2 linked regions of the Arabidopsis thaliana genome follow. The protein of the gene in region 1 interacts with the protein of each later gene in a pairwise test. Each region holds a gene or a part of one and is shown on either strand. Other genes may lie near its edges.

Evidence for each region. Proteins that work in one complex are often made in the same cells at the same time.
Region 2: the proteins of ROS4 (region 1) and AT1G20870 interact in a two-hybrid assay, tested with the Arabidopsis thaliana proteins (one study listed by BioGRID).

The regions. Positions count from the first base shown.
Region 1 is NC_003074.8:5,039,517-5,047,121, forward strand, and holds ROS4 (Acyl-CoA N-acyltransferase with RING/FYVE/PHD-type zinc finger protein), read right to left. Parts: upstream 6,010-7,605; 5' UTR 5,813-6,009; coding exon of another isoform or gene 5,594-5,812; intron 5,507-5,593; exon of another isoform or gene 5,437-5,506; intron 5,359-5,436; 5' UTR 5,296-5,358; coding exon 3,028-5,295; intron 2,802-3,027; coding exon 2,684-2,801; intron 2,367-2,683; coding exon 2,284-2,366; intron 2,100-2,283; coding exon 1,858-2,099; intron 1,735-1,857; coding exon 1,648-1,734; coding exon of another isoform or gene 1,638-1,647; exon of another isoform or gene 1,454-1,637; coding exon 1,354-1,453; intron 1,151-1,353; coding exon 949-1,150; coding exon of another isoform or gene 902-948; exon of another isoform or gene 885-901; coding exon 415-884; 3' UTR 296-414; downstream 1-295. Other genes in the region: AT3G14970 (RING/U-box superfamily protein), read right to left, coding at 1-217; AT3G14981 (uncharacterized protein), read left to right, coding at 5,594-5,812. UniProt on the Arabidopsis thaliana protein: Histone H3 acetyltransferase that binds methylated DNA at chromatin sites lacking histone H3K4 di- or trimethylation and catalyzes H3K18 and H3K23 acetylation. Prevents the transcriptional silencing of transgenes and of some endogenous genes.
Region 2 is NC_003070.9:7,258,514-7,263,407, reverse strand, and holds AT1G20870 (HSP20-like chaperones superfamily protein), read left to right. Parts: upstream 1-1,927; 5' UTR 1,928-1,966; intron 1,967-2,613; 5' UTR 2,614-2,632; coding exon 2,633-3,779; intron 3,780-3,876; coding exon 3,877-4,121; 3' UTR 4,122-4,385; downstream 4,386-4,894. Other genes in the region: AT1G20880 (RNA-binding (RRM/RBD/RNP motifs) family protein), read left to right, coding at 81-123, 227-529; AT1G20875 (uncharacterized protein), read right to left, coding at 1,727-1,927; PHT1;8 (phosphate transporter 1;8), read left to right, coding at 4,575-4,894. UniProt on the Arabidopsis thaliana protein: Acts as an anti-silencing factor that prevents DNA hypermethylation and gene repression.

The sequences.
Region 1 (7,605 bases):
ATCCTTTATCAAACTCGTGAGTTCGATCAACGAGTAGAGTTTCAAGATCGAGAGGATTTTCATCTTCTCCATCTGAATTTACTTCAGGGGCAAGATTGTAACATAAATGAAACTTGAACATCAAGTTTTGGGTTCTGCCAAAATCGCCTTCATCGTTATAGATCGGATAATAGTAAACGAAGCTGTCGGGGTCTGGATTGACAGCATCAAAAACCATGATTTGTTCGGAAAAATGGGCGTTTTGATATTTGGTATTTAGGGTTTTGAGGCTTGATAAGACTTGAAAATGAAAATGAAAATATAGAATCCTCTTTTATGCGGTTTCCTTATCTTAGTAGGGTTTTCTTTCAAAAAAAAAAAAGTGACGAGAGGATATAGAGAAAGAAACGATCATAGTTTTTTAGTCTAATAATATTATTCCGAATCCTGAGAGCTATCAGAGTCAAGCTGTTCATCAACACAAAGCAACATCTCATCGCTAACATTATTTACTACTCCTAGTCCTAGACCACTAACTTCTTCTAAAGCTGCAGAGGAAGAAGAAGCCCTTGTCGTTTCTTTTCCTTCTTCTGATAACTTTGATACATCTTTCTGCAAACATTCTTCTTCTTCTTCTTCTCCTATAGAGACTACTGTTGTTTTATTTGGCCTATCATTGGCATTGCTGTCTCGGCTTGGGTTCTCTGTTTCTGAAGTTGGTTCTGTTTGATCGGCTCCGAGTGGTACGGGGAAGCCTGGGGATGGCTCATCATCTGAACCTGCTGGAACCATCTGATCACAGCTCTCAACTTGGGTACTCATGGGAGACCCGGCTTTGTCTAGACCTGGCTCTAGATCTGCTTCTTTGTTTGATGGGTTATTGCGTTCTTTAGAAAGACATACACCTGTACAGGAGCAAAAATCAAATGAAGTTCGTTCGAGAGAGAGGGAGAGAGGAGTTGGCTTTACCTTTCATAGTGCTGGGTTTTGTGCTCTCGTATAGTGTTTTCTTGAGCAGAGTTGTCCCAGGGAATACCATCAAGTTTATTCTTTTGAGAGCATCACGCTCTTCATCATCCATGGGTTTGAAGCCAAAACCTTCAGTCCAAGTTTCCACTAAACTCGGCAATGCAGCTACCACAAGCTTCTCCACTTTGAGAGACATAAGCATCTGCAGCCAAAACCAATGAATAGTTTTATCTATTGATAGCCCAGGGATCAAGACAAGACTGGAAGAGAGATCATATGAGCTAAGGGATTATCAAGGTCAGCATATGAGCGGTGCTGTATGTCTATCATTGTACTAAGTTTAGACATTATTAATGTGGATGTAGCTTCAAGAACAACCACATGGTTACATTCTAAATATCGTACCTCTTCAATGGCAGCCACGAGGATTCTACACATGCCCTGTCGGCGATATTTGCTGCACGTAGCTACAAGAGGCATCTCTGCAATAGTTACTCCGTGCACCCTGGATATAGTAAAATGGGGTTTATATGTAACTCGTTCCAGTGGATGGAAGTGAAAGAATAGTTCTAAGCATCCATTTGGTGATAGTGTCAAATTTTGTTTCATTGCCTGGAGGTTCTAGAAGACATACCAAACACTTTGATAGCCATGAGATTACTGTTTTTTCAGCATGAATTCGAGTTTCTTCATACTAACCTGATAGATGCTACTGAGATCATCACATCATCCTTTTCCACAACCACTGTGTAAAACCCATCAAAGTCTAACCGAGCAAATGTTGACCTTTAAGTGCAACAAAGATTCAAAAAAGGTAAGACAAAGCGATGAAAATGAAGAGCAGAACTGAAGGTACAGAAGTAACAAACAGAAATCTAAGTGTGCAAGCTAATGACAAAAGGACGTTACCCCCAGTTGTATAGCACATGAGGTATCATGTCAATACCAGTTCTTGGATCTACCATAGACAGAAAGCTTTCCTCCATAATTGATAGGGCAACAGCTAATTTCGAGTTGCATTCAGCCTTCAGCGCCAACCTTCGGGCAGAATGAACCATTCCATCTTCTTGAAAACATTTAAGAATTGACCAAGACAGACCATCAGCATTAGGGTTAATGATCCCAACACGAGAACTAAGACCATTGTACACCTGCATTACACGAGCTACTTAATGAGAACCTTGAAAGTTGTGAAGCAGCTGTAACATGCTAACATCTTCTTTGTTTATATGTCAAAGAGCCCAAGAGCAGCGAAAAATATACTATTATTCTCAATGTAAATTTAAAAACTACCCATTAGTTGTTTAAGTCACAGTGACTAGGTATGATTAATACCTTCTCGCAATTTTTACCACAAAAGTAGGTCTCTGGAAAAAGCTTTCTGCGTTTACTTATCCCTTGCAAACATGTTCCATGATCTGATAACATAAAGGTAACAATCATCAGCCAAAGTGGATTTCATACCAAAATAACTAATGTGGGATCCAACTGTCGCGAGAGGCATAACTCCAAAAGTGAGTTTTACAAAGTGTCAATTACTAAAGAAAGAAAATTGGAGAAGTGCTGAGCCTGGCAGAAAACCACCATCTACAACTGTTACTGATGAACAGTGACATCAATCGTGATAAAATCTCAGTGAGACATGATAGAAGAGAATTCAAATCAGGGGTTTCCTTTCATGTGATAAAGAAATAAATCATAGTTTCTAAGAGATTGCGAGCTGTAAGATGATTACATTTATGCGCACACTGGGAACATTTAAAGTCCTGAGAGCGTTCAGCATTATCACTAACCAACTCGCTGCATATCCAACATGTGCAGCTCGAGCAATACCAACTTCCTTCAGGGAGCACCTGGGTAGAAAAAGCAAAAGCAATACAGCAACTCTCTTTAGAGGGTACCAATTTAAGGTAAAATATCCTAGTTATACTAATGCCGTGTAAGTTACTAGAGTTGAATTAGTAAGAATCACAGAATCAGCCAAGAAGTTTCACCCATGTGTATGTTTTGCAAAGAGTTAATTACCGGGATAAATAATAGTTAAAATGTAAATATACCCTGGAATGAGTCAGACAATACCTGCATTGATAAGCACGCCTGATGGAAGGTAGATGGACAATTATCACAGCAGATCAGCTCACCCCCATCACCACAAACTCCACAAGAATCATCATTTGGATCATCATCAGAGGCTTTCTCTAATCTCCATCCATTTCTTCGCGCCTTATACTCAGCAGACCAAGCTTCCAGCTGACATGAAGCGAAAGGCTTTCCTGACCCCATGAAAAGATTCAGACATGGACAGTTCTGGTTAAATCCAGCATGGTTCTTGAATTCAGAAAGTGACACAGTCTTGTTGCAACATGTACAAACCACTCCATCTTTAGTTACCAGGCCTGTTTTTACCACAGTATCATCATCTGGATCTCGTAACTGGATTACTTCGTCTCTAGAAATTACTTTGGTAGCTATCAACCATGATAAGACAGTTCTAGGACCCAAAATAGACCAATTTCCTTGAAAAAAATGATTTTCCACATTGCTTGAGCTTCGGGGAAGCAACCTGCACCCTCCCCTATTGTTTCTTTTCTTTGTTCTAGCCTTTGGCTTCTGTGTTTTCTTTTTCTGGCTTGATCTGCTGAACTTACCTTTGTTTCTGGTTATTGTCGACCCCATAAGGTCATCATCTTGAGTATAGTGCTTCCTAGCTTTCTTTCTTCCTTTCTTTGAATTGCAACATGAATTATTCATCTTCTCATTCCTCAACCTTTCATCCCGACTTCCCTTTGAGACGAGGTGAATGTTGCCCATCTCTTTATCCTGGAATTCAAAGCTATTGAGAGAATTAGAATCTAGTGAATCATGTTGGTCCAAGGAAGCTGGTTTGATATCGGATATTTTCTTTGATCTTCTGTGTAAGTTCTTTCTCATAACACTTTCATGCATGTCTTCTGCTATCAATTTTGAAGCTACAATGCCCTTGCTAGCCTCCTGCTCATGAGTCCCAGAGATTTCCTTACCAATTATGCTCTGCCTCTCTAGTCTTGAAGAAACTTTTTGAGAGGAAATTTTAGTTTGCACCTCAAGATCTGAATGTATCTCTTGGTTAGCATCCACGTCATGAACAAGATGACTGCCTTCAGATACTGTCAGCACACTTTCAGGACAGCCTGAAATCAGGTTCAAACAAATTGTATCTTCTTTCTTCAACTTGTCTGGATTTGAATTCCTTGCAACTTCAACTTTATTTCCTTTTCTTAAAGAACCAACTTGCTTAGAAATGAAGACAACAACCACAAAAGGCTCTAAGGCACTCCACCAAAGTGCCCGTGTGTTAGCAAGATTTAAATTTTTCATGTTCTCCTCGATGTCCAACAGTGTAAGAGAGAGATCGGACCAGAAGTCATTAATACCAGTCCATTTCTTAGTACCAGTATCCATTAACTTACGATCAGCTAATAGGATCCCACCCAATGCTTTCCAAGCTGACCCAAATTCACGAAATTTCCGTCCCTCTGGCGATATGTAAAATGTGTCTACATGTTTCCTACCTGCTGATCTTTCGCGCTTCTCAATTTTCCATCTGGCAGCAGTTAGAACCTTACAGACATACTTGTAGAGAAGAGGACGGGGGTCCTCTTTAGGATCAATCTTTAGGCAGGTTTTAGACATAATTAACTCATTAGGAGATACTTTAGATCCGTTGTTCAACTGTAGCGGGAAGCAAGCCTTCTCACTATGCGGCGTAGAAGCACCTACAGAGATCATTCTGGTTGCGAAGCTCTCCTGAGAAACAGGAGAGGCAATAGCTTTAAATTCCTTTCCATCGCATTTGTCCAAGTTTAGTGACTTACACTTTCCAGACACAATGCCACCCAGATAAACTTCTCTTCCCTTTACTATGCTGTGCTTCAACAAATATGAGCTAGTTGAAACACCCTTGTTAGATGATTCAACTAAATGGAGAGGTATCGTCTCTCTAGCTATGTCCGAAGTTGGAAAACCATGCAAAGCAGATCCCTTTTCGTCCCTTGCATCCAAATGCTTATTACCTGAAAGCTTCACTCTCTTAGCTTTAGTGTTAAAATCTGAACCATCTCTTGAAGCAGATGCCTCAAAACCTTGTGGACATGCATATCCACTAGTTACCACAGAGTTGGAACTCAGAGAGGAATTGACATTCTTACTGGAATCACATTCGAAGTTAATGGCTCCAGTAACGAGACATCTTTTAGTAGTATTTCCAGGATCACTTCCAAAGAAAACTTCTCTGAATATCTGATGATCCTCATATGACCCTTCAAAGCAGTCACCTCCTAACATCTCAATCTCAGCTCCGGGAAGCATCTCCACAAACTAACTGCATATTCCACTTCACCTTAACTTAAAAGGAAGGTTGTAGATAGATACCTGCAATTATATAAAGTAATGAATAAACTCACAGAACCCAAAAGTTTGGAACTCGACATCCTAATCCAAAACACATACCCATAAGCGGAAGCGGATTCAAAACAAGATAAAATCAGAGATCCTTCTAGAAAGGCCAAAACTTTGAAGCCTAGAGCAAAACGATAGACCAGATTTCATGAAATTGAGATGTTATAATGACTAATTACATCCAAAAAGAAAGCTCAAAAATTGGGAAATGCAGGACATTACCAGCATGCAGAATGAAATCAGAGCTGTGAAATCGGAGAAATGGCTTCTTCTCACTGAAATAGACTCATTTCGTCGCCCTTATCCTCTCCAACCGCAAGTGGGAAACGCATTTTCATTCCATTTCACGTTCTCTGCACTCACACACTCTCTCTCCTTGATCTCTATCTCACACACAGAAAGAACAACAATTTGTCTATCTTTTTAGCTTTTTCTATAATTGTGGAAGAAACCCACCTCTGATTCGGTGTTAAATCTCTCAACCAAAATTCATCAGATAGATAAATTCTGACGAACTTTTTTTCACCTCTCTGAATCTGCCTCTATCACTTTGTTGTGCACAGTGTGTGTATACTTATTATTGGCTATTTCTTTCTCTTCTCGTTTTTTTTCTTTTTTTCTTTTCTATAAATTGTGTGCTGTCACCAAAAAGGCATCTTCGTGTTTTTATTTTATTTTTCCTTCGTTATACTGAAAAAGTCATTCTTCATTTTTCACCTTAAGATTCTGTCTCCTCTCTGATAACAACGGACCAGCAGTTATAGTATATGGAGTACTTAAATTCGTTTAATTACACAAATTAAAACCCAAATATTCGTCGTTTTTTTCTTCTGTTATCAAATTCTTAATCCTGTTAATGACGATCGTATCACTATAAGCCAATATTAATGACTATGGTTTTAAGTTCTTGACAAAGTTTTTTTTTACTAAATTCGCCACAGACAAAAACTGTTCTGACAAAAATAACAGACAAACTAAAATGAAAAAAAAGGTTAGCATATTTAATTGCCAGGTTTCTAACTGTTCTTCTGTTGTCGTTTTAAATCATTTCAGCTTATGTTTTTGTCCTTTAAAATTCAGTCATCACCGATTGTAACAGGTTTTGTCTTAATATGTATAATCAATATCTGTTAAGTGGATTGGATGCTTTGTAATTTGCGCGGGGAATCTTTACGTGTCTTAACGATAACAAATACTGTACTATCAAATAGGTGCATGCGATGATGGACATAAGTCGTATTTTAACCTATTTTGTTGTGTGAACAGATTAGTTATTGCATGTTTTGTATTAACTATATATAGGAATACGGCTCTGAATCTTTGTTTCTTCTTATTCGATTTTGATATATGAAAATTCCAAAAAGTACATGTACCAGTACGATGAAAACGACTGTGTTATGTGAAAGTATTTGTTTTTAAAAAAAAAAATATTTAGAGGGGATCAATTCTAGATACTTTTTTCATTTTTAAGGTTTAACTATGGTTAAAAAGAAACGATTCTTTTTTAAAAGGGTAGATGGTAGACCTCATTTGCTAATTTTGATCCACATAAGTCAATAACAAATAATTCGGCTCGCTTGCGAAGCTAATGCATGAGCCACGTGTTTTGCTTTATATTTGGCTTTCTGTATTGAGACATTCTTCTTCATCCTAATTGTGAATGGAATATGTTGGACCCAACGAAGCCATCAAACATGGTTAAAACACACAAACATGTGATTTAATCTAGTTTAATTTCGTCTATTACAATATAAGTGAATTTTGACACACATCCTTGGATTATATCTAAAACGTTAAGTTTGTTAAAAACACTTTGGACCGGATAATGGGTATTGATCATTTATTGTTTGTTGCATGTTGGGTTAGAAATTAGAGATCATAACAAAAATCATGATTTCAGGCTGTCCATTTTGAAAAATGTGTGTGTTTGTGTTAATTTGAATACACCGATTCATCCAAAAACCATCTGAACAGTCTCTTAATTAGTTTACCGTGTATATATATCATATTTATGGGATCATATTTGGTTAAGTTTAACTAGTAGTTTCAAATTTCGCGTTAATAGCTATTTGAAAGGGTAGGAGTACTTTTTCGACCGGTTAACACTCCCATATAAAGCCCATAAATTATTGGAACGCTACAAAATTAACAAAACATCTCTTCAGAAGTTCGTCCGGTTTACTCTACTACAAAGTACATGTATCAAAAACGACAACACGT
Region 2 (4,894 bases), on another chromosome or scaffold:
CTTCTTTTCTTAAAGAGTGTTTAGCCAAAACTTTACTCACCTGTCTCTAATATTAGCTGTGCTTTTTGGGGTTCTCTCAGGGTTACACCATATGGACCTGACTACATGTACTCACAGTCTCAGGTAGGCGCTTGAAATTATTGCAGTTCCTTCTTACCTTCTTTATGCATTTTAAACTGTTGTGGCTTTAGTTATAAACTCATGTCTTCTCTTCATGGTGTTGTAGGGTTTCTATGGTCCTTACATGGGTCAACAGTACCTTCAGGTTTATGGAGTACCTGGGGCAGTTAACTCACCGGGTTATCAATATGGGCAACTGAGCCATACTATTCCTGGTGCTCACGGTTATACAGCGGGTCAAGGTTATTCACATCCAGGAAGTCATGTTCTACAGCTTGGTGCCACTTCACCTATGTCTGCTATTCAATCTCCATACCCTTCTCCTTCAGCTCCAACGCACCAACGTGTCATCGTCCAGACTCCTCCTCAGTATATACAGAGTAGCGGTTCTGATCAGACAACAGGGTGATCAACGTAAGCAAATTCTTGGATTCTTTTTTGATGGTCCAAATTGGATTGAAGTTCGTACACACTTACACGACCTCATTGTTATTTATCGGTTTTCAGTTAGTAATCCTTAAAGATTGCAGAAAAGGGAAGAAGTCCAGGACAAATGCTACTCTGGCAGGCTTCCTGTTTAAGCTTAGCACATTATTTATTTTCGCATTCTAGAGGTAAGCTTGTTTCCTTAGGTGCCCTTTTAAGTTTCAGTACTTGCAAATGTTTTCGATCTCACCTCATTACCGTCGTTACAGGTATTAAGTAGTCTTGCTCACTGAAGAAGTCAAAAAAGGGGGAAAGGAGAATGGAAGTTTCAGGGTTTGTGCTTCTGTTATCTTTAACCCTCTCATCCTATGTATATAGCCCACAACAAGCTTGATGGCATAAACTATATGAATAGTTTCACCCCGGAAACAAGGGTTTTCGCGGTAAACTGGTAGGAATAAGTTTGGTGTACAAAGAAAGTTCATATATATATAAACACATACATAAATGCATATAGAATGGTGGAATCAACATCTGATTCTTTTGGGTGGTAAAAGTAGTCTTCTTACTACACACTCTCTTAAGGCATATGAGTGTTGGTAATATTACTAGGTAGATTCTCACGTCCTCTTGAGTCAAGTCCTCTGCATTGTAAGTAAAAAATTAATGACTATGGAGCTCACTTCAGCTTCTTTGTCTGTGCATAAATTTTAGCTCCAGGATTCTTCTCTTTTCTATGTCTGTACAGTTTCTAGACTGATAAATTGTTCTTCTCAATTGTTTCTGTCTATGACTCCTATCTTCTACTCTGATTCCTCTGTTTATACTCCATTTATCACTTCGTTTACCACTTGCTTTCAAGATGATAGATTCGAGTTTTTAGTTAAATTCATCGTCATTTAAACCATTTTTAAAGAGTCCAATTTTTGGGGGTGGATGTAATTACGTTTCCTTCTTTGATCCATCAAAGTAAAAATTGATCAACACATAATTAAAAGGATTACATAATGAGGTAGTGGCATAGTAATGATGTTTTGATGTCCGAGAAAACTGATTTAGAGATAGTTTAGTCAGCACAAACAAGATTAATGTTCCCATTTTCCTACAACTTCCTCTCGTTTAAAAGAATAAGCTTTATCAATGAGAATAAGACATACAAAACATTTGGGCCTTATACTTTTTAAAAGGCCCAAAAGTGCTTCAACAAGACGGCACGTGGTGAGCCAGGTGACAAGTGATACCTCCAAATGCGGTTATTTGCGGGACCCACGTGGTAGCCACGTGTAGCAAGCAAAGGACCCCCATCCTCTTTTGCATTTTTCTCCTTACACCAAACATTTCTTTCTCGCAGAGAAATCTCTCTTCTCTTCACCTCCATCATCCTCCTCAACCCAAAAACATCACGACGAAATTAAAAAAGGTAAAATCTGCCACTGAGAATTTTCTGTCATGCTTAAGCTTCGAATTTCTTCTCGTTTTTTCTCCATGAATGTTGCTTGAATTTTCACAATCGCTGGACTTGTAAGGTTGAAATTGCATAATCCCTATTTATCTTCTGTGGTGGGAACAATGTGGGATCGATTTTTGCTGTAAAAAGTACAAACTGGTTCGTATTCAAGCGTAGTAACCTTTAGATTTAAGGAAAATTGTTGACTTTGAGCTAACTAGTGAAAAATTGTTGGATTGCGATATTTTCTGGGTAAAAATTGGTTTTTTTTTTTTTTTTGTATTGTGAAGAGTATATATGAAGCAGAGTTACTAATCTTTCTCAAAATATCAACATAGTCTTTTCAAATGTAGATTTTGCTGTTAATAAGTGAAGTTTTTAGGGTTTAATTTGAAGATGTTTTCTCCTTAGTAATGATAAGGCAAAACATTATGGAGACTAAAGTCATTGTTAGAAAAGGGTTAAACTTAAGAGATCTAGGGACTAAAATGATGGAGATTTTCAATGCTATGACTAAATTGGCAAATTTGAGACACTTAATTATGTCCTGTAACTATGTTTTTGGAATGTCCTTATTGCTTCCATTTGTGACAATGTTGCCACTTTCATATGTAATGCAGGTTCATTGATATCGAAGATATGAGTCTGTATAGCGACGGATTATCGAGTGATCAGTATTTCTTGGTTAATTTCATCATGAGCAACTACTTGGGTCCTGATGTCTATTCTGATAACCCAAGATGTTCATCTTCTCAAAGATTAGCTAGAGGTTTGCCACCTTACACTTTGATGCACATTGGATCTTCCTCTCTAACTGTTTCCCAGCTACAGAACTTGTACTATAATGTACTCAGAAACGCCAAGTCCAGCCTCCTTCTTCATCCAGACATGATTTATATGTATCTCAAGGGATATCTACCATTGGAACCAAGTGGAAAGTTTCCTCAGTTCACGCATTTTTTCCCGACGAATCTTCACCCGCAGAAAAGGTATTCCCCGAGCCACGAGATTGTGAAAGGAATTGTTGTTATTGATGATCCTGCAGTAGGGTTCATAAACAAGGAAGAACTCCAAAGGTTCAGATGCTTGTCGCGTTTGGACGACCTGAAAATCGATAGAGTCACGTCTTTATCTCCTCGGGTTAATCTGGATGAAAGCCGGGAAACTGAGCAGGACTGTTCAAGAAATGGTGATGCGACAGCTAATGGAGTTGTCACTAACGAGGACTACAATTCATCTGGTGAGCTTCAAGAAACGTGCAAGAGAAAGGAAGGGGAAGACGCGGTTGCTAGTTGCGTAATCAGTGAACCAGAAAGACTTTCGGGAGACATACCAGAAAGCCAGGGAATGAAGCAGGACTGTTCAAGAAACGGAGAATCTGCATTCAGTGGAATTGTCTCTGACCAAGACTACTATTCATTTGTAAAGCTTCCAGAAACATGCAAGCGAAAGAACAAGGAAGAAGAAGCAGTTACTGGTCATGCTGTTAGTGGAACGAGTAAAACCCCTGAAAGATTTCGTGAGACATACAAGAGAAGACGGTTCAAGAACTCATCAAAAAAGGCAACAAACAAGAATGGTGAAACTCTTATGGAAAGAGAAAAAACAGATAAGCCTATACCTTTTTCTTCGGAGATGAAGGAAAGCGATGCAGAACCGTCGGTTGTAACTACTGGAACAGCCAGTAAAGAAACTCTAGGATCATCTGTTGGTGTTGTTGACATTGGTGTCAACAAGGTTGCTTACTTTTTTCAGGTTGCTTTGCCCGGTGTCCGCAAAGATTACGGTATTATTACACTTTGTTGCACATCTAACTACTTCCATACACGCCACATCGGGTCTAAGTGCTAACACATGAATTGGTTTGGTCCTTTTGTGTGCAGGTGAATTCAGCTGTGAGATTGAATCAGATGGAAAGGTTATACTGGAGGGATCAACTACAAGAGGCGAAAAAAATATCAAGAGACATTCTCGGGTGTTCGAGATGAATATCCGGAAGCTGTGTCCGCCTGGACCATTCAAGCTGTGCTTTAACCTCCCGGGACCAGTTGATCCGCGGCTATTCTCTCCTAACTTCCGATCAGATGGTATCTTCGAGGGAGTCATCATCCGACACAAAAACTCTTAATTAAACCGGAGGTTCCTATACAAGTTTAGAACTTAGGATCTATGTAGATCTTTTATCTTTATGTTACTGGACATAGAAGGAAAGCGAATCAAACAGCATGCAAGGATAAATCTTTTACTTTTAGGACGTGACTCTGTAGATTTTGCATGATTTTGCTAAATATCCGTTTTCACAATGATTTCATCAAACTGAGAATCCGTTAATATTGTTTCTGTGTTGGCAGTGTTGCTGTTACTTGTTAGTAGTTACTGTTCTCATTTCTCAATAAGTGATCAAACCGAAACTAAAACAGTACTGAACCGACGGTTTAATTTGGCTAGAAAAATTCAAACAATTATGATGTTGTGCCTTAATGTGACAACATAGATAAAAAGAAGCTCTTACAAACAAACTGACTAAGTCTTCCTCGGAGTCAAAATCATAAGCATATTCCATGCTCATACCAATAAAGTAATGAAAATGACAAAGAGACTTATTAATCGTTATAAAGATCCTTGTTCTGTTTCACTCATCATGAATTCGAAATTTCGATATAACAAACCAAAAGGAAAGAAGCAAAAAAAAAAAAAAAAAGCTCTGGATTCGGAATCTCAGATAAAAAAACCAACGATGCCGATAAAGGTATTGTCGTCGCTTGATGTAGCTCGAACACAATGGTACCATTTCAAAGCGATCATAGTAGCGGGAATGGGTCTATTCACCGACGCATACGATCTTTTCTGCATAGCACCGGTCATGAAAATGATTAGTCATGTTTATTACAACGGTGACTC